5 linked regions of the Rattus norvegicus genome follow. The protein of the gene in region 3 interacts with the protein of the main gene of each other region in a pairwise test. Links are inferred from orthologs where the notes say so. Each region holds a gene or a part of one and is shown on either strand. Other genes may lie near its edges.

Region 1 (3,952 bases), on a different chromosome or scaffold from region 3:
AATCATTCATCAAGCAAACCACCCCACAGTCTTGCCTGTAGACCATCAGGATGATGGAAGCACTGAGGTTCCTTTTCCCATATAACTCTAGTGTGTATCAAGCTGATGGGGAAAAACAAAAATCCAACCAACAACAAAACCCACCAAGACGCAGCCTTTTAGTGTACTAGAGAAAACGAGCGTGTTTCAGAACCAGAGATGGCATCAGACTATGTGTAGATTTGTAAGATGTGTAGAGTGTAAGATGAACTATGCCCCCGTCCTGTGGGCCAGTGGTGGTGCATGCCTTTAATCCCAGAACTCAGGAGGCAGAGGCGGGCATATCTCCGAGTTCGAGGCCAGCCTGATCTACAGAGTTGAGTTCCAAAACAGCCAGGGACACAAAGAAACCCTGTCTTGAAAAAACCAAAAACCAAAACCAAACCAAACCAAACCAACAAAAAAGCCCAACTCCTTTCTTTCTCAGCACCAGAGAAATAACTACAGCAGCGAGGAAAACTGCTTCCTGGCGAGAACGCCCGGGCACTCCTTCGGAAACTCATTCCTTAAACTGTTCCAGGCCCACACTGGTTTATCCTAACAGAGACAACCCAAGAATCAGGTATTTCAGAACAAAATAGGGCCAGGGATTGACAAAGAAAAAACAAATTTATTACAGGCTGTGCACAGCTGCCTAGAGATAAGTTCTTCGGTTCCTCTGCCTTTCCTGTTTACAGAGTTACAGAAAAGATAAAGCAAAAGCCAGGAAGCACGCTCGCCGATTACAACGCGAGGACCTCCGGCAGCCAAGCTCTTCCTCTGGGGCTGGGCCCTTAGCCTTTCCTTCTCGCGACATGGGGTCCTGAGGACATTTTAATCACTCAGGGTCCCCGTGACGCTGGTTCAGGCACTATGGGCACGGCGGTTCTATCCGGCGGTGGCTTCCTTGGGATAACACCTTCTCCGCCTTTGACAAACCAAGACCCCAGTGCTTGCAGAGGGACCAGACATCCACTCGGCCTCAGTTCCGATGGGAACCGGAAGCAGAGCGAGGCCTTCCAGTACTCAGACACGCCCCCTTAGCGTTAAGTCGCTGCCGGGGCAACAGCGCGCCATTTCCGCCAGCGAGTGACGCACTTCCTGTGCGCCGGCAGGTCACATCCGGGTTTCGGCTAGCGGGTCCCTCGCAGGCTCTGGGAAGGTGGACCGAAGTTGTGTGATTCACGGGTGCTGAGTGAGGTGAGCGGGCGGCGGGGTGGCGGGATGGCCCGGAGGGCGGGCTGATGCTCTATGGCGGCGGTCCCATGCTCTCCCCGCGCCCAGGTCTCCAGCCCGGCCCGCCGCGGGACGGGACCTGGGAGCGTCCTGACGCTGACACTAAATAACCAGCCCCGAACGCGGGTAAGCTGAGTGTCTCCTGACCACTGTGGGATTTTTACTATCCCCTGTGCTGGGGAGGTGGTAATCTCATGAGCCCAGGGCTTCCTGCTCCTTTGAGAACTTTGCGCTCAACTCTTAGCTGAGGTTGAGACCTGTTGTGATGAACCGGTGCATAGTGAGGAGTAGGGAGATGTTTATAACAACGGAGCGCTTTCTCCGCTGTCAATTACTGGTGCATCTGTACACCATGGAGTCACATAGTGAGGACATTGCTGTGCAGTGTCGGGGCCTTTGTATGTGATACCCACACACAGAGGTGTTCATAGAAGCGTGATTTAAACTCAGGCGGTAGTGTTGAGTGTTCCTGATTTTCACAGTCATTTTGAAGGGTTCACTTCTCAGCCCTGACTGGTAATGACGGTGATCCTGAAACCACCTGACCACGGGACGGAAGTAGAAGATGCTTTTTTCTTACTTTTTTTTCTTTCTTTTTTTCTTTTTCTCCCCTCCCCCCACCTTGTTTACTGTTTTTTTTCGAGACAGAATTTCTCTGTGTAACAGCCAGCCCTGTCTGTCCTGGAACTGTCCTGGACTGGCTTTGAACTCAGATCCACCTGTCTCTGCCTCCCTATTCCTAGAATCAAAGATGGTCATCATCCTGCCTGGTGAGGGTGCTGTTTCTTGAGCACCTGCAGGGAGTTCAGCTTTTGTTGTTTTGTCTGTTTTGAGACCAGGTTGGCTTTGAAATTACTGAGATGGACTGCCTTTGTCTTTCTAAAGGATTGTTTTAGTGCTTGCAAGCTACTTCTGGAACTGAATGAATGCAGTTATGAGAGAGAGCTAAGTAGATAACCTGGGTAGAACACTTTGTTTACTCTACACCCTCTAGGCGTGACTGTGAAGTGTCGTCCAGAAAGACCACCTCCTTCCAATCCCTCAGAAGCCATTCAGGTTTGGGAAGGAAACCTTCAGTTTTGTGAGACAGTATTTCAGAAAATGCTCTAAAGTTTCCCTGGAACTGCAAATCAGCTAGGTACAACTTCCCTGGAGAAGGAAAGGACCAACTTGGTTTCTGAGGTAATAGCACATGGAGCTGTTGCTTCCTTTCTGTGGCATGTCTGCCGTCTGTCTGTGGCCCCACCCCATGCATGCACTATGTTTGACTCTGAAAAGGCATTGTTCCTTAGACCCCTGTGATGACCGGGTCTGACTCGTCTCACTTGTTGCAGAGCTGGTCATTTTATCCTGTGTTTAATGGCTGCTTTACTGAGTTGTATTATGAGGCTCATAGCTTTTTGACTCCGGAGGATCTTCTGCTGGCCGTGGGTTCTCACAGTGCTGTTCTTGTCCCCTCTTCTTGTAGTGACTGGCCATGTCTCTGTCCCACTTGTACCGGGATGGGGAAGGCCACCTTGATGATGACGATGACGAGCGTGAGAACTTTGAGATCACTGACTGGGATCTCCAGAATGAGTTCAACCCCAACCGGCAGCGTCATTGGCAGACCAAAGAGGAGGCCACCTATGGAGTGTGGGCTGAGCGTGACTCAGACGAGGAGAGGCCCAGCTTCGGAGGCAAACGGTACTGTGTGCTGGGCTGCATGCCCTTGGTCTGGAGGGTCAGGAGGACACCCTAGAAGAGTTTCCTGCCCTGCTCCTGTCCAGACACTACAGCATCCTGCTCTGTACTGTTGAGCTGGGATGGCAACATCCTCCTTAGCAATTACTGTGTGACGGGAGCAGGATATGGACAGAGACGTGCTGGTCCACCACAGGCATGGCAGCTGTGGGACCATGCTGTGCCAAGGAACACTTGCAGGGCACTAGAGAACAGGGGGGGTCAGGGAAGGTCACTCTGGAGAAGACTGTTGGCCCAAATGAAGGCGTCGTCCACAGGGGACGTGTGGTAGTACGGCCTGGGCTACATAGTAAGATGCTGTCTCTCAAGGCAAGAAAACAGCATGTGCCTCCCAGCTGACCTCACTCAGAATATTTTGTTTAATTTTACTTATGATTTTTTGATTAATTTTAATTAGGATTTTTATCTATCTGGGTTGTTCTGTTTGAGTTTTACACTTGAAAGAGTATCTAAAACAAATGCCGTGTGTGTTTTACATGCACGCTAGATAAGAACTGTACCACTCTAAAGCAAGCAGGGAGCTGAGACAGTCTTTTCGGTTGTGAAAGGGGCCCAGTGTGATGGCTTAGAGGTGGAGATGTCTGCAGGGCAAGCCTGGTTAGCTGCGTTCCATCACCAGGTTCCTACATGAAGGGTGAAAGGGATGAGCCACTCTACAGATTGTTCTTGCACGCAGCAATAGCGCCATTTTTGAAAGTGTCAAAGGGAAGTGAGATCATTGCATCCCAATTTGAACTCATAATCAACTACTGACAGTGGCAAGTCTTCAGCTACAGGTTTGAGTTGAACGGACCACATGAGCGTTAAATGTGGGCTGGAAGAGGACTCAGTAGCAATGAAGATTGAGCACTGCTCCAGCAGACCTGAGTGTGGCTCCCAGCCAGTGCCACGGCTGGCAGCTCACACTGCCCCTGATTCCATCTTCGGGGAATCTGCTTTGGCTCACAGGGGACCC
Region 2 (4,154 bases), on a different chromosome or scaffold from region 3:
ACATTTCAAAGAAGGATAGTGTCTGCTGTATACACCAAGAATGGCTTCTTTAGATCCAGCCAAAAATGGCAGTTACCACAAGGGGTCACTCTATAACCAAATTCTGCATTATATGGGATTTAGCTAGTGTTTTGTGATTCTCCGACTTCCAGGAATCTTCTCTAATTTGGAGGTGCCTTAAAAATAATGTTTCTTCCCGCCTGCCTGCTGTCCTATTGCCCTGCATGTCAATATGCTGGCTGATGCTCTAGCAGTCACAGTGATCGTGGATAAGCAGGTCAGGAATCAGACATAGCAGGGTGCCAGCAGAAAGATTCCTGACTTACTTGTAAATTCCTTTTGAGAAAGAACCAATGTCCAGTCTTGTTCAGACCAGTGTTATTCCGGGTTTCCCATTATGTATGGCATTGGGCACTGACCTTTGAGTTATTCTGGAAAGACTCTAACAGCAAACCCAGCTTCCTCTGCAGCTCCTGTAAGTCTCTGGAGACACTCGGGGGCTCTTCCTCGGCCATCTTGAAATGTTCGTCAGTCTCACTCTACAGTAGACCCTCTACCAGGAACTGCATTACTGTAGCACGTAGCCCAATCTCTCATGTCACCCCAGCTCTTGCTATCACTGAAGGAAACAAACGGACAAAAAATTCTTGAATTTTCAGCAATCTCCAAGGAGCTTGTGCCATCCCTAATACATCAATGGCAGGCATGTAAATGGACATAATTTGACAATATTTATCAAAAATTTCAGCTGTACGCACTTTGATCCAGCAATTTATTTTTCAGGAATGTAAATAAGATAAATAGATGTGTGAAAAACATACCCAAAGGATGTATATCATATTCCTGATTATAAAATGACTAGTAAGATGTCAGGAAAAAAACTAAATTCATTTATCATTAACACTTCAGTCTCTCTCTCTCTCTCTCTCTCTCTCTCTCTCTCTCTCTCTCTCACACACACACACACACACACACACACACACACACACACACTGTAGAAAAAGAGCTAGAAAGAGTAATCTCCAAGAACTTATGCCAAACAAGAAAACTGAATGTACTATTCAGAACTCACCACCCCACCCCTTCTCCCTACGCACCCTACCGTAACTCCAGGCTTTCTTTGCTCCTACAGCAGGGACCTGAGGTACTTTCTCTTCTTTCTTTGGCTCCTAAGAACCTTGCACAATGCCATACTTTATTTATGTGTGGTAAGGCCTTCACAGACCTGTCCCCAAGGCCTTGGCACAATTATTTTCTGTGACTCAACAGCAGCCTGGAATTTATAAGACAGTCTCTTTCTCACACTGTTTCTGCATTTTTCATTATGACAATGTATCAAATTAAATATGCTTTTAACCCTGGTTGGGTTTTCAAATAAAAATATTATTCTTATTAATGTATTATTCTTAGTTTATGTCTCCTAGAACATATGTCTGGGTTGGAAAAAAAATAGGATCTCCTTGCAGCTAGCCTTATATACGTTATAGACCTGTGCTCAGTAGATTCCGTCACAGTGCCCAAAATAACTGGATATACCACTTGCCTATTTGGTATTACATGAGGAAACACACCTTACCAGTGTCTACACCACAGAGTCTAGTAAGCAAACCTTCATGACACCAGCTAAAGAGTCTCTCCCCTTGGTCAGGAGAGAATCAACGCCTGCATCATTATTTATGTTGTTAAAGCAGCAGCTGGCGCTAAGATTGAATATAGGATGGCCTCAGGCTTCAGTTTACCTAATCTCATTTCCACAGTGGGCTACAACAAATCAAACTACACCCTTACAACTCTTCTTTGGCCTGGGAAACGCCACTGAACCGGTCTGGAGAGCCTGCTGAAAGCAAGGGTAGGAAGAATGCGGAGGAGGACCGCAGTCAACAATTTCCTGACCATTTACTCCTTCTAGGGTCCTCTGCAGACTCTGAGCAGCACCACAGGGAAGGTGGGACTGCACCACCCCAACCAGCCTAGGGGGAGAGTAGGTGCCCCGCCTACTCTCAGTTTTAGGGGGCCTAGTCAAGTTCTCTGAGATCGCGCCCCGCCCCTTTTAAGGTTCCAAATAAAGCTTTGGCTTCCGAGTCTCGCATCTTGCAAACAAACCGCCATCGCGAACGTTCCAGCTGCCAGTCGGGTCGAATCCCCAGATGGGGGCAGGGCCTTCGGGGCTCCTGGGAATTTATTCTGGACCCCATTTCCGATGAGGGTTGAGGCTTTCAATTCTAAGGCCAGGGATCCACAGAGAAAGAAACCGGTGTGAAGTGGATGGGTCTGATCACGACTATGGGGCACAGAAACTAAGAGATCGGAACTCAGGGCAATTGGGGATCTTGTCACTAATCACTTGGGGCAAACCCACCTTTGACACCTGTAGCTCCCTCCTGCTGTGGCGCATGGCACCCCTGTTGGAGAAGGTGAGGATGCTCAGACCAGACTCCACTTCTTCCCACTCAAGAGGGAAGGTAGGGCCTCTCCGGTGGGTTGGCATTGGTGGCTCCTCCCCATCCCGTCCCCTCCCCAATCTAGCTGCCAGTGTGTAAGCATGGAGATGGCTGGAAATGGTGGATGAGATCTCCCTGCGAGCTCCTAGCCGCGCCCAGCAACTCAAGGAGACAGGCAAAGTTCATCACCAACCCATAGGCGGGTGGCAACAGGCTGAGGAAGCTAGTGCATTCTCCCGCGACCGCCCCTGCACTCCCCCGCTTCCTAGGCCGAGCTTGGAGGGTTCAGCCAGCCGGGGTCCTCTACTTCACACCCCAGCTTTGCTCTCTCACCTGGTGCTGGCTGCCGCAATACCCCGCCCCGTAGCCACAGAGGGCGCAAAGCGAAGTGGAAGGAAGAAAAGAGGCACAGGCCTGACTTGGGGAAGGAACCGGACTCGCTCCACCTCACCAACAAGCGCTCTTCCTCTACCGAAGCCCCGCCCTTCTGTCACGCCCCTCGCCGAGGCTCCGCCCCTCGCCCCTTCTCGCGGAGGACCAACCCTGGCCCTCGCCCCAGGCTCAAGTCCCCGCCGCGCTTTCCCAGCCTGGCCAGGAAGAGTAGTGTATCCAGACGTCTAGCTGCTCGGCTTGACACCTTTGCTAGGCAGCCCGCTTCTTCCTACACACTCTAGGAACAACCCCCACAAACTTTTAGGCTCTAGTGGATGACTAATGAGTAAATGACTGTCTGGAGACAGTCTCTTCCTACACCGGTGGCTTGGAGTGAAAGTTCTGGGGCCACATTTTAGGAGGATTGGCAACTAGAGGTGGGATTATAGTGGCAGAACTAGTTCTGGATTCACCCCTAGAGTTCAAGTCACACCAGTCAATCAGTTAGGTAGCTCCTGTACTGGAAGGTTCTAGCCATTATGCAGGCGCAAATGTTGGCAGCCAGAGAATCTTAGAGAGGGATTATCTCCATTTTACGGATTTAAAAACAAAAACAAAGAGCTAGAAACAAATCCTCTTCTCAAGGACGCTTGGTAGAGAAACCCATGTTTCCCGGTTTCAAATGTAGGCCTGAGGAACCCCGTTAGTTACTCAATATTAATACTACTGGCATTTGAGATGGGACGAAGTCTGCTTCTGAGATGTCTTGTGAGCACACTGGGGTGCTTAGTGGCATTCCTGGTCTCTACCCATGAAATAAAAAAATACAGTAACAGACCCTCCCAGTTGCAATAACTTAAAATGCTTCCAAGGGGTTGGGGATGGGGTGCGATCATCAACCATCAGGTAGGCAGAAGCACTGCTGATGAACTTACAGCAGAAAACTATGGGCTGGGCCTCTGGAGTCCCCATCTCAGTGCCCAAGCCTAGGTGTCACTGTGTAATGTTGCTGAACCACACAGTGCTCTGAGCCACATCTTTTTCACCCATTAAATGAGGAGAAGGGCAAGCCCAGGTACTCGTCTGCTGCTAAACAGGTCTCAGGCTCTTTTCACCCAAAGTCCTGGAGTGACCCACCTCTCTCCCAGAGCCCTGTACCAATAGCATCCTGGAGATGGGTAAACTCTTGGGTAAAAAGAGAAATCACAGGGTTTTACTGAGGACAACGAAAAAGATGCCTTTAAAGGACTGAGTACCTCTCAGGCACGTAATAGGAACTCAAAAATATTACACGGGAGGAGAGAGAAGACCAGGAAGGCAGCTTAGAGGTTAAGAGTCCTG
Region 3 (3,515 bases):
TCCCCAGTCATGGGCTTGTTCAGCTGCACATACAGCACTCAGATCCTAAGCGTACCCTGGCTGGGCTCAGCGTTCTGTCAAACAGTTTTTGGGTGTTTCTGGGCTCCCAGGCAAAACACAAATTCTACAATGGGGTTGGGGGATATTAAACAAATGTATGAAGGAACATTCTAGAAAAGAGGCCTCTGGCTCCTTCAGTTGCTGCACCAGACCCAGGAGCTGCCAACAGAGGGACAGGCTCCCACGGCAGGCAGATCAGGAGGTAAGAACACGCTCACCCAGATAGCCATCATGCTCTTGGCCTCCCAGGTTCTCTGAACCCAGGCCTGGTATGTGATTCTTGGAATCCCCTGCCCAGCTCAGCCTTCATCCAGAGCCAGGTAAACCTGGGGTAACTAACTCTGCGATGAGGGGAACTTCAGGTACCCTGCTCCTGCACCCAAGGACCTCACACAGCCTCTCCTACTGTGATGTGTCTAGAAGGCTTGTTCTCCACGTGTCCCTGAGAGAGAGTCACTGCTGGCAGTTTGACCTTCCTCCTGGCCTGTAGCAGCACACTGCCCATACACAGAAAGCCCTAGTACTTCTCAGTAAAGATGGTTTGCCATCAAGGAAGGGAAGTGACAGGGCACAGAACTCTCCCGCAGGCAAAGCAAAGGTACAGTGTGCAGGTTGGGAGCCTATTCTGGGTAACTCGGGAGCCTCTCCTAGCCTCTCCACTCTCAGGTCCCCTCTGGAGGTCACCAGAGAAGCAGTCACTCCACTCCCTACCATTAGCACATGTGGGAAGAGCAAGGCTTTTATCAACAGGGGCCTTCATGAGCAGGCTGGGTGATGGAGAGCAGGCCACACTCCCGCTGGTGCTGCTCTGCCTGCTGAAATCTCAGGGCCTGTTTACAACACAGGCTGGAAAGGGCCTCTGCAGAAGCAACCAGACAAGAGCACTGAGACACCAGGCCCTGTAGGCCAGGCCCTACCTGCACTCAGGAAGAACCCAGGGTCGTGTGTGTGCTAGGTAAGATCTCCGCTCCTTACACCACATCCTCAGCCCTAAACCCCACTTTAATTAATACACATGGCTAGTGTCCTTTGCGTGGGTACTAACAGCCTACTTCTGATGAATACCTGCCATCCAACAGCAGCCTCCCCCACAGGAGCTGCAGCCCAGGAAGAAGAGGAAGAGGAACAAAAAGGAAGAGGCAAAGCTCCCTGAGGTGTCTTCTCCCAGGTCCTCTGCTGCTAGGCGGGAAGATGGGTGCCTACTTATCGGGCAGGCAGCTCAGATGTCCCTGCACAGGACAGAGGTCTGTGCTCAGCTCCATCTCTGAATCTGTACAGAGCAGCAGCCATTCCCAGCATGTTCCTGTCAGATTCAGTGAAGAATCTGCTCTACCCCACACCACAAGCACCATGACAGACTGCTTCACTGAAGATCCAGAAACAGTGCCCACAGCTTGAACCTTCTGAACCTGCCTGTTGTTTCGGCCACAGGTTTGGCAACAATGGAGAGAAAAGAAAATAACTGATACAGACAGATATACAAGAGGAAGTACTTGCCAGGAAAGGGAAGACAGAAGGTCCTGGGCCTCCCTGGCCAACTCAGCACCAGCTCTGTCATGACCTTCCAGAACTGTTACGCAGCCATTGCTCCACGGCCAGTAAGCGAAACAAGCCAGCAAAGCTGGTCTTTTGCTGTTTACAGTGCCTGGACCTGGAGAACCCCAGAGGAGTGCTAAAGCTTCATAAACTGCACCCAGAACCCACATCACAGGACCCTGCTGCAAATGGCCAGCGCTCTCAACAAGACCTTTGCAGGTGAGTGAGCAGTGTGTCCACACACTCAGTGCCATTCCAGAAGAGCACAGGGATGGTAGGGTCAAAGGCTGCTTGCCTAAAAACAAGGACAGATGAAGTTCCAAGCCTGAAGCAAACTGAATGACTTTAACTGTCGGCAGCAAAGGGCCACAGTCTGTCAGAATCACACTAACAGTTACAGACTGTGGGATCTGGTAAACAGGTTCCCCAAATGGCTGGTCCCAGAGCAAAAGGTCCTCTAGGGAGCTAAAGGGCCCAGTGAGGCGCCAGTACTCGTGATATGTCTCCTTCCAGCAAAGACTGCTCAAGAACGACCGGCCAACTAGTCCAAGCTGTAGCTCGTGGCAAGGCACAGCCACACACCAGCCACAGGGATAAGCCAAGCTGAGGCTGGAATCCAGGAACCAGGTCATAACCCATGAGAAAACAGACCCTCAACAGCTACTTCATGGGCAACACTGCCACATACCACCCAATGCCAGCACAGCTGGATTCCCAATCACTTCCACCTTAATGTACAGTGGCCACCTCCACCTTCACAGGATAAACAGGGCAGGGCAGTAGAGGAGGGGCAGCACAGGGTACATGACCACCTCACCTCCAAAGTTGGCCAACCGCCCAATCCGGGTAACTGGCACCTTCCGCTCCCGAGCCCGCTCACTGAGCTGGAGGGAAAAAACAAAAGAGGCCTATAGGACTGACAAAACTAACGAATGAGCCAAGACAGCCTGAGGTGCATGCTGTGTGCACCTCCCCTCTCCACCCCTGCTGGCAGCACTGGACAAAAAGACTTCCACGTATTTCTAAAGTCACAGTGGGGGAGGGGTGTTGGCAGGGGGTAAAATGAGGGTCAACGCCAGCCTCACTGGGAGTAGAAACCACCCAAGTCCAACAGTGATGCCTCTCAGGCCTACCATCTGCTTGTGTGGCTTGCTCTCTGGGCGAGCCTTGGCCTGACGGGCCTTTTCAATGTCTTCAGCGGTGAGGCCTCCCACAGGGGCCTGGTCCTGGTGGAAGAATCTTCGCTGGATGCTGTTGGCCAAGAACAAGTCTCTACAATCTACAAAGAGCCTTCCATTGACTCTGCCCAGAGGAGAGGTAGCCTGGCCAGAGAGCCCTGCTTCCCTGAAAGGTCCACTGGAAACATAGGCAGGAGCTGGGCCCTCCCTGTGGGCATGACCCAGGGATGAAGACAGTGGCTGGTCCAGGGAGGAGGCTGTGGAGAAATCTGGGGAGCTTCCAGCTGCCTGTGGTGTTGAGAACTGAACTTCGGCTTCCAGATCTTCGAAGTTCTCAGTGGCATATGAATCTTCATGCTTATCCTGACCCTGAGGAGAACAAAGGCCAGTGTGAGGGGCAGGACTGGTCTGGCGAGGATACTTGCATGTGACTGCCAATCAGCCCTCTCTAACCCTCCAAAGGTGATTGATGCAGCCTAAGACCTGAGGTCCACTTCAAAGTCTAGGAGACCGCAAACAGCTCTCACATGCTTCTTCTAGAACCCTGCTGTGTGATCTCAGGCAGGAATCTATATACCACTGGTCCCTGCTATAGGACCAACCAAGGCCAGGGAAGATGCCCATGGCTGTAGCAACAGACTCCTCCTCTATAAAGCAGAGCCAGCACTGAGCCCATGGGGCTGTTAGGAGAGAAGCCAGGACAGATGAGGAAAGCCTGCAGAAGCATAAGTCACAGAGCAG
Region 4 (3,515 bases), on a different chromosome or scaffold from region 3:
GATGTTGGCTATTGTATAATCTCTAAAACTTTATAGTTCAGAAACCTGGCAATATAGATCTCTGCACAAAAGCAATTATTCTAAAGTTAAACTTGTTATTTGGGTATTTTTTTTAGATTTTATCTTTAGAAGAGAAATTTATAAATTTAATATATAGTGAAGTTGCCTTTAACCTACTCTGAAATTACATTTATGATTTTAAAATCAGGGATATGTAGCTAGGGAAATATGGATACAGAGTATTTAAGGTCTAAGAGTGATACTTGACAACCTTTGGCATGAACATGTAATTCTCTCGTACAGAGTCTAAACATAGACACAGAGCTTAAGGCCTTGGAACAGTCTGCAGACTGACTGGCAGTGTTGTCCACAGCAGCTAACGTCTTTTCCTTCCAGTGGGCTGGGGTACACACATGTGCAGATGCATGCAGTACCAGAGCTCATGTTTGGGTTCTTCCTAATTACAGTGGACAGGTTTGGGGTTTTGTTTTCTTTTTTTTCGGTTTTTGTTTGTTTCTTTGTTTTGTTTTTTGAAAAATCCAAAGGTGGTAATGGAAATACTTCAGAAGTTGGCTAAAATGTTAATTGTAACACATAACAGGGTTGGTTTGTAATATAAAATATATAAGTTAGAGATTGTCAAAATAATACTGCTTTTTTGGCAGTCTCCTGCAAACCCCCAAGAACTGCAAAGCAGAACCTAAAACCTTTTAGTTGGCCAGGAGCATGCCTTTATCTCAGAACTTGGGAGGCAGAGGCAGAAAAGTATCTGTGAGTGTGAGGCAAGCCTGATCTACTTAGTCAGTTCCAAGTAGCCAGAGCTAGACAGAGAGAGCCTACCTCAAAACAAAACCAAAACTAAAACCTTTACTAAAACCTAATTGAGTCATTTTGAATTATCTGTCCATGAAACACTGACCAGGTTCCTAATTGTGATTTTCAGCTCTAATTTCTTTTTACCTAATAAGTCAAGAGTTCAAAGGTGATAATCCTGCGTTGTTTTAATTCAGTAAATAAATACGTAGTATATTAGCAAACATTGCTTTATTTCATTAAGTTATTCATGAGCTCTGAACTTATGCAGGCATTTCTGCTATGATATTGTATATTTATGCATAGTTTTTTAAAAATATCTAAATTGTAGGACTTTGAGGAAAGATTAAAGGTTACTTTATCCATGCAATTTTATAACTAGAGCACAAAACAACCACCCTGACTTACTTCCTGGAAAACAATGGAGAAAAGGCTCGAGCGGATACTGTGCCATACGCCTCCACTCGCCTGCCCGCCACTCACTGAGCTCACTTGTCATTCAGAAAACCAACTGCAGACCGACTCTTCTACACGTGTGTGGCCGGGGTAGAAAAAGATCCAGTAGTAGTGTTAAAGTATAGTTGTGCATAATTTAAATGTTAGTGAATGATCAAGAAATGCTGCCCTGCGTGTGTGGTGTCCAAAGACAAGAAGCCTTCCTCAAGGCTTGCATACTTAATTTTTAAAGGTTATAACAATTTAACTACAATGGCACACACAGGATTATTAGTATTTTTATAATACTTGAAGTTTAAGACAATGAAAGTTTATAGTGTGCTCACAATAGCACTGGGGAAAGGAAAACACACACTGTTACCTTTGCCCTTTGGTTTTGATATTTATAGAGCTCCTTAACCCAACTAGGAGAAGGGAACAGTCAACTAATGGACTGGGGGCTCCCAGAGACTGAGCCACCAACCAAAGAGCACACGTGGGCTGGACATAGGCCCCACCCTATATGTAGCAGCTGTGCAGCTTGGTCTTTGCGTGGGTCCCCCAACAACTAAGGGGGTGGGGTGTGGCACTGTCCCTGAGTTTGCTGCCTGCCTGTGGATCCTGTTTCTCTAACTGGGCTGCCTTGTCTAGCCTCACTGGAAGAGGATACACTTGGCCCTGCAGTGACTTGATGAGCCAGGGTAGGTTGCTGGGGGTGGCGTGTGTGGGGGGTGTCCCCTTATCAGAAGAGAAAGGGAGGGGAGGAGGGATGGGGAGGGGCTAAATGAGGTGGAGACTGGGAGGAGGGGCTACAGTCAGGATGTAAAGGGAATAAATAAATGGTGGGGAAAAGGACTAGATGCAATCCATTTGGTTGTAGTTCAAACTCCACTTCAGACAGTCTGCTATGCTGCACAAGAGGCTCACTTAGCAATTCCACTCTGCAAACTAGTGCACAGCTCATCTGCAAGGCTGATCCTCAACACTGTGGTTATCTAAAAATCAAGTTCAAACTTAGGGGAAAATAGCAAACTGAAAACAGCCTCTTCTCTAGAAAGGCCTACATAATGTTAACTGTGGATCTGTTAGGGGGTATGTAGAAGTGTGCATCAGCTCTTCTAAATCACATACATAAAAGCTACAGACCCTGAAGACACAGAAGACACCATTTTCAACCTGAGAGCCATGGGCTGCAGCACTCAGGGCGGGAAGTGGGGGCCTTACTTGGATTTGGCTGCAACAGCACCTCAGTCTGCTTCATTATCTTCTCTGTCCACACTTTGGTGCACTCCGCCTTGCTGAGGAGATTTTCCAGGTGAGCATCCAGTTCTGTCTTCTCTGCTTGGCCAAGCTTTTCCTCTGTGAACTGTCAGCATTTAAAACACGAGTGTAGTATATCAACACACCTCACATACACAGGACACAGCCAAAGAGTAAAAGTCAAATCCAAACGATTCTAGACGTGCAAACAGGTCCACTCCAGGCTTGTTTATAAGTCACTGCTTTCAGCGCTGTTTGTGTCCGTGGTCACTTATCCACCCTCCTACATCCTACCACAGGATTTACCATGACTATCTCATTCCTCTGATAAACTGCATGGTCTGACTCGGACTTCAGACCCTGACTGTATGCTAATCGACACAGGCAAACTTTTCAGAATTTCCCCCTTTTGTATCATCTATCATAAAGGTGACACAATGAACATGTACTTTTAAGATGAGGTTTTACTGTGCCGCTCAGAATGGTTTGCACTTTTATTGTCTCAGCTTCTCAAACAATAATTGTTTTAAGGATTAAGTATGACTGTCTATAGAAATAAATCTCTCTGCTTAGAGCCTTGTAATTATTATTCAATTTTAGAATATTTTAATTCTTTTATGACTTATGTATTATTTTTAAGTTTAACTACACCCAAGTTAGACTTTCATGGGATCCTCTGAGCAGGCATCCTTTGGGCTTTTCTTCAGGGTTTGCTCCAACAATGTGTTTACAGGCTACTTTCTGCTATGATATTCACACAGCAGAAGTATTCTTTTTTTATAAGATTTATTTTTAAAAAAGAATTTATATGTGTGTGAGAACATGAGAGTGTAGGTGCCCACAGAGTCCAGAAGAGAGCACTGAAGTCCTCAAGTTGGATTAGTGGGAGTTGCCGGTCACCAGACATAGGTGTTAAGTATTGGAATCAGGTTCTGTCTGCAAGAGCGTAAGCAGCATCTTAATTCGCTGAGGTCTCTCTCCAGCCCCAAAGCGTAGGCGTTCTCTTT
Region 5 (3,053 bases), on a different chromosome or scaffold from region 3:
TTACAACATTTCCTGGACCAGGCTCCGGTCTCAGGCATTGCACAACTCATCTAGTTCAGTATCTGCCTAGCGTGAGGCCACGTGGTACCTTTCACATTTCATCGCCCCGTTCATTCCATGTCAGTTCTGGGGCTGGGACTCCATACATGACAGATTTTCTGTGCAAGCCTAGAGAAACATACTCCATCTTTTAGCTTCTGAATCAAAAGGCCTTTTGAGCTTAACTGCTGTTTAGCCTTACAAAGTACTTTTCATAAAACCAGGCATGATGGCGCAAGTTTTAATCCCAGTACTCTGCACATAAATAGAGGCGACAGGATCAGAAATTCAAAGTCATTCCCAGCTAAAGAGTCCAAAGCCACCCTGGGCTTCATGAGACCCTGTTTCAAAACAACAGCAAAAGCAAAGTAGTTTGCAAACAGATACTGGCTTTCGATCGTAACGACATTATGAAAACATGGGGGCTCCCTTAACGCTGAGGTTCAAGAATAGTGAATTGGCCAAGATATGGAACTTTGCATTTTTGTAACAGACCTGGAGGCTCTTAAAAATATGAGTATGTAGGGTGGAGTGTTTGCTTATGCACAAAGCCTTGGGTCCAGTCTACACACACACTCTCCACCCTCCCTCAGTCTCCCCCATGATTGGCCTCTTTCCCGTTTCTGTGAGGTGAGGTCCCCAGCCTCTCTTTCTGTCAATAAAACCCATTCCAGAGTGTGTGCTCCTCCTGGAATTAGAGAGAGGACCCGGGACAAATCCAGACAAGCCCAGGGATATGTACATGGAAACTCTCAAGAAGCCTGGAGCTGGGAGGGCTGAGGTGGTGACAAAAGGGTTCTGCCAGGAAGATCAAGTGACATGGTGCTTTCCGTGGTTTGTCCTAGCAAGACCGTCCTGTTCCTGACACCAGTGTGGGTTTAAGGTAGATGCCCAGAATCCAGACCCCCACTTGTGTTTGTGACTGGGGGTCTGAGGTCTGTTGGAGTTTCCCTGCCCACCCTCCCCACAGGGCTCAGGCCCTAGGCCAGGGCTCAACAGACACAAGCAGTAAGATGGGGTTGCCCTTCTATTGGTCCAAGTCCTGAGCGTAGCCTGGGTGAGTCATGGAGGTGAGGAGGCCCACGAGGCTCAGCAGTGTGGAGAAGAGCAGCAGGAAGGAGGCAGCGAAGAGCAGAGCAGGCAGGGCACTGAGCACAAGCAGCAGGACAGCTGGCAGCAGGTGGCTCCACATGACAGCCACCACAGGCCACAGGGAGCTCAGCAGGTGGGAGCCAGTGGTGAAGAGTGCATGGCACAGCATCAGTGCCAGCAGCAGGTACAGTGTCCCCTCCAGACCCCATAGCATGCGCTGCAGTGGTTGCCTCCAGCCTGATGTATTCCACCACTGGGCCCAGCTCCGAGGTATGTGGCATACCCACCAGCGCACCCAGTCCTGACGGAGAACCCAGGCTGACCAGGGCGCTGCCCGCTGGGGCCCCTCGCCAGCCCCGATGATGTCCGTCTCCACTCGTGGCTGCTGCATCACGGCTGGTGCACCTGTGGATGGGGCCAGGCCAGCTGCAGGAGCAACCCTGGAGATGCCCAGGACCTTTGGATAGGAGGGCATGCAGGGGTCAGGAGGATACCAGCATGGGCAGGATTGGGCTTTGACCCGGGGGCTAGGACTCACCTTTGGGCAGAGCCACCTAAGTCATGGTGCTTCCTGTTGTGTGCAGGCTAACCTGGCAGCCAGGTCCCAGTCTCACCCTCGCTCACCCCACCATCCCCAGAGGGGTGCATTATGACCCGGGCTGGGGTGGGGCCCAGCCGAGAGAAGAGCTGCTGCAGTGTGAGACTCACTCACGTCTTTTACTCACGGCCCCTCCAGGCTGGCAGGAGAGCTCAGCAAGCCTCACAGATGCCATTCTCCTTGCTTGTAGGAAGCCTTCTCCACACCTGTCCCTCCTGGATGGCTGCCTCCAACTTCATGGCTGGCATTGGTTTCTGTAACCACCCTTTTCTCTGCCTTCTCTTAATGCCCTAAGCCTCAGACCCAGCTACCAAATGTTCATATTATGGAACTAGAAGGTTCAAGCTGAATATACTGGACTATTCTGTCCTTCCAACAGACAACCTTACCCTCACGTAGCTCAGGATGGAGGAGAAGAAATCAGAGAGCAGATTGGATGGTGTGTTTTTAGAAGGCATTCATCTTTTGGAGGCCCCTCAGGCCCACGGATGGATACAGAAAGCTAGGCCCAGCATGGCTAAGGGGATACCAGAGCCTCCCAAGAGCAGGCTGAGGCCCAGGAACAGCAGGAGCAGTGCATCCTGGAGTCTGAGCAGTCCCGAGACTCTCCCTGTTGGGGACAGGGGAGCTGCTTGCTGTCCTGGCCCTTCACCAGCCCCCTGGCTCTGACCTGTTGGGAGAAGTCTGTGCCGTGGCAGGTTGGGACCTGTGGATCTGTGGAGAGAGAAGATGGCAGCTCGAGGCAACTGCTCATTTGTCCCTGTGTTTGTGACACCTACCTGACAGGTGGCACTTACCCACGGAGCAGGTCAAAAACAAGGAAGCTGGACAGCAACAGGAGCAGCAGGGCTAGGCCAGCCGTTGAGAAGACTGTTCGAATCGTCACTCCTAGCGCCCCCAGCCCTAGGATACTGTCCAGGAGCTGGGCCTGGCTGAAGTCCCAGGGGACACACATGGCTCACTGACACTACTCAATCCCTCTCCAGTCTCCAGCCCCTCTGGAAGGAGGAAGTTGGCTGTAGAATAGTTCTGGGCATGAGTAAGCAGAGCCAGGTCCCAAAGGTTATTAGGGAGTCCTCGTGCTAGGAGATTGAGGATCAGTGAAGGGATACAACACTCCAGGGTGAGCTCAGTGAGTGAGGAACTAGCCTCTTTGGGGATCTCCCTCCCCCGACTCCCACCCAACATCCTCACCAACTCTCCTCACCTCCTCCTACTTGGGTTGACCATTCTAGATTTGAACACTCTGGGGCATTGTGACCTATTACCAGGCAGGGCCTTGAATTAAGGACAGGACAACAGTCTGTCTCGCCTCATAAGCACT

What was found.
Region 1: the proteins of Coq8a (region 3) and Tfip11 interact in binary tests that used the Homo sapiens proteins (3 or more experiments, as listed by UniProt). The two-hybrid records come from large-scale screens. The link is inferred for Rattus norvegicus from reciprocal best matches to the Homo sapiens genes COQ8A and TFIP11.
Region 2: the proteins of Coq8a (region 3) and Ldaf1 interact in binary tests that used the Homo sapiens proteins (3 or more experiments, as listed by UniProt). The two-hybrid records come from large-scale screens. The link is inferred for Rattus norvegicus from reciprocal best matches to the Homo sapiens genes COQ8A and LDAF1.
Region 4: the proteins of Coq8a (region 3) and Sh3glb1 interact in binary tests that used the Homo sapiens proteins (3 or more experiments, as listed by UniProt). The link is inferred for Rattus norvegicus from reciprocal best matches to the Homo sapiens genes COQ8A and SH3GLB1.
Region 5: the proteins of Coq8a (region 3) and Tmem239 interact in binary tests that used the Homo sapiens proteins (3 or more experiments, as listed by UniProt). The two-hybrid records come from large-scale screens. The link is inferred for Rattus norvegicus from reciprocal best matches to the Homo sapiens genes COQ8A and TMEM239.

Annotation. Positions count from the first base shown.
Region 1 is NC_086030.1:49,969,451-49,973,402, reverse strand, and holds the start of Tfip11 (tuftelin-interacting protein 11), read left to right. Parts: upstream 1-1,145; 5' UTR 1,146-1,218; intron 1,219-1,269; exon of another isoform or gene 1,270-1,380; intron 1,381-2,248; 5' UTR 2,249-2,436; intron 2,437-2,722; 5' UTR 2,723-2,731; coding exon 2,732-2,940; intron 2,941-3,952. UniProt on the Homo sapiens protein: Involved in pre-mRNA splicing, specifically in spliceosome disassembly during late-stage splicing events. Intron turnover seems to proceed through reactions in two lariat-intron associated complexes termed Intron Large (IL) and Intron Small (IS).
Region 2 is NC_086019.1:183,914,565-183,918,718, reverse strand, and holds the start of Ldaf1 (lipid droplet assembly factor 1), read right to left. Parts: upstream 2,801-4,154; 5' UTR 2,775-2,800; intron 2,403-2,774; 5' UTR 2,360-2,402; intron 620-2,359; 5' UTR 516-619; coding exon 420-515; intron 1-419. UniProt on the Homo sapiens protein: Plays an important role in the formation of lipid droplets (LD) which are storage organelles at the center of lipid and energy homeostasis. In association with BSCL2/seipin, defines the sites of LD formation in the endoplasmic reticulum.
Region 3 is NC_086031.1:94,446,375-94,449,889, forward strand, and holds part of Coq8a (atypical kinase COQ8A, mitochondrial), read right to left. Parts: intron 3,144-3,515; coding exon 2,730-3,143; intron 2,481-2,729; coding exon 2,414-2,480; intron 1-2,413. UniProt on the Homo sapiens protein: Atypical kinase involved in the biosynthesis of coenzyme Q, also named ubiquinone, an essential lipid-soluble electron transporter for aerobic cellular respiration.
Region 4 is NC_086020.1:236,435,140-236,438,654, forward strand, and holds part of Sh3glb1 (endophilin-B1), read right to left. Parts: intron 2,615-3,515; coding exon 2,473-2,614; intron 1,341-2,472; exon of another isoform or gene 1,313-1,340; coding exon of another isoform or gene 1,222-1,312; intron 1-1,221. UniProt on the Homo sapiens protein: May be required for normal outer mitochondrial membrane dynamics. Required for coatomer-mediated retrograde transport in certain cells. May recruit other proteins to membranes with high curvature. May promote membrane fusion.
Region 5 is NC_086021.1:138,056,550-138,059,602, reverse strand, and holds Tmem239 (transmembrane protein 239), read right to left. Parts: upstream 1,727-3,053; 5' UTR 1,670-1,726; intron 1,589-1,669; exon of another isoform or gene 1,537-1,588; 5' UTR 1,523-1,536; coding exon 1,067-1,522; 3' UTR 513-1,066; downstream 1-512. Other genes in the region: uncharacterized protein C20orf141 homolog, read right to left, coding at 2,206-2,443, 2,527-2,684.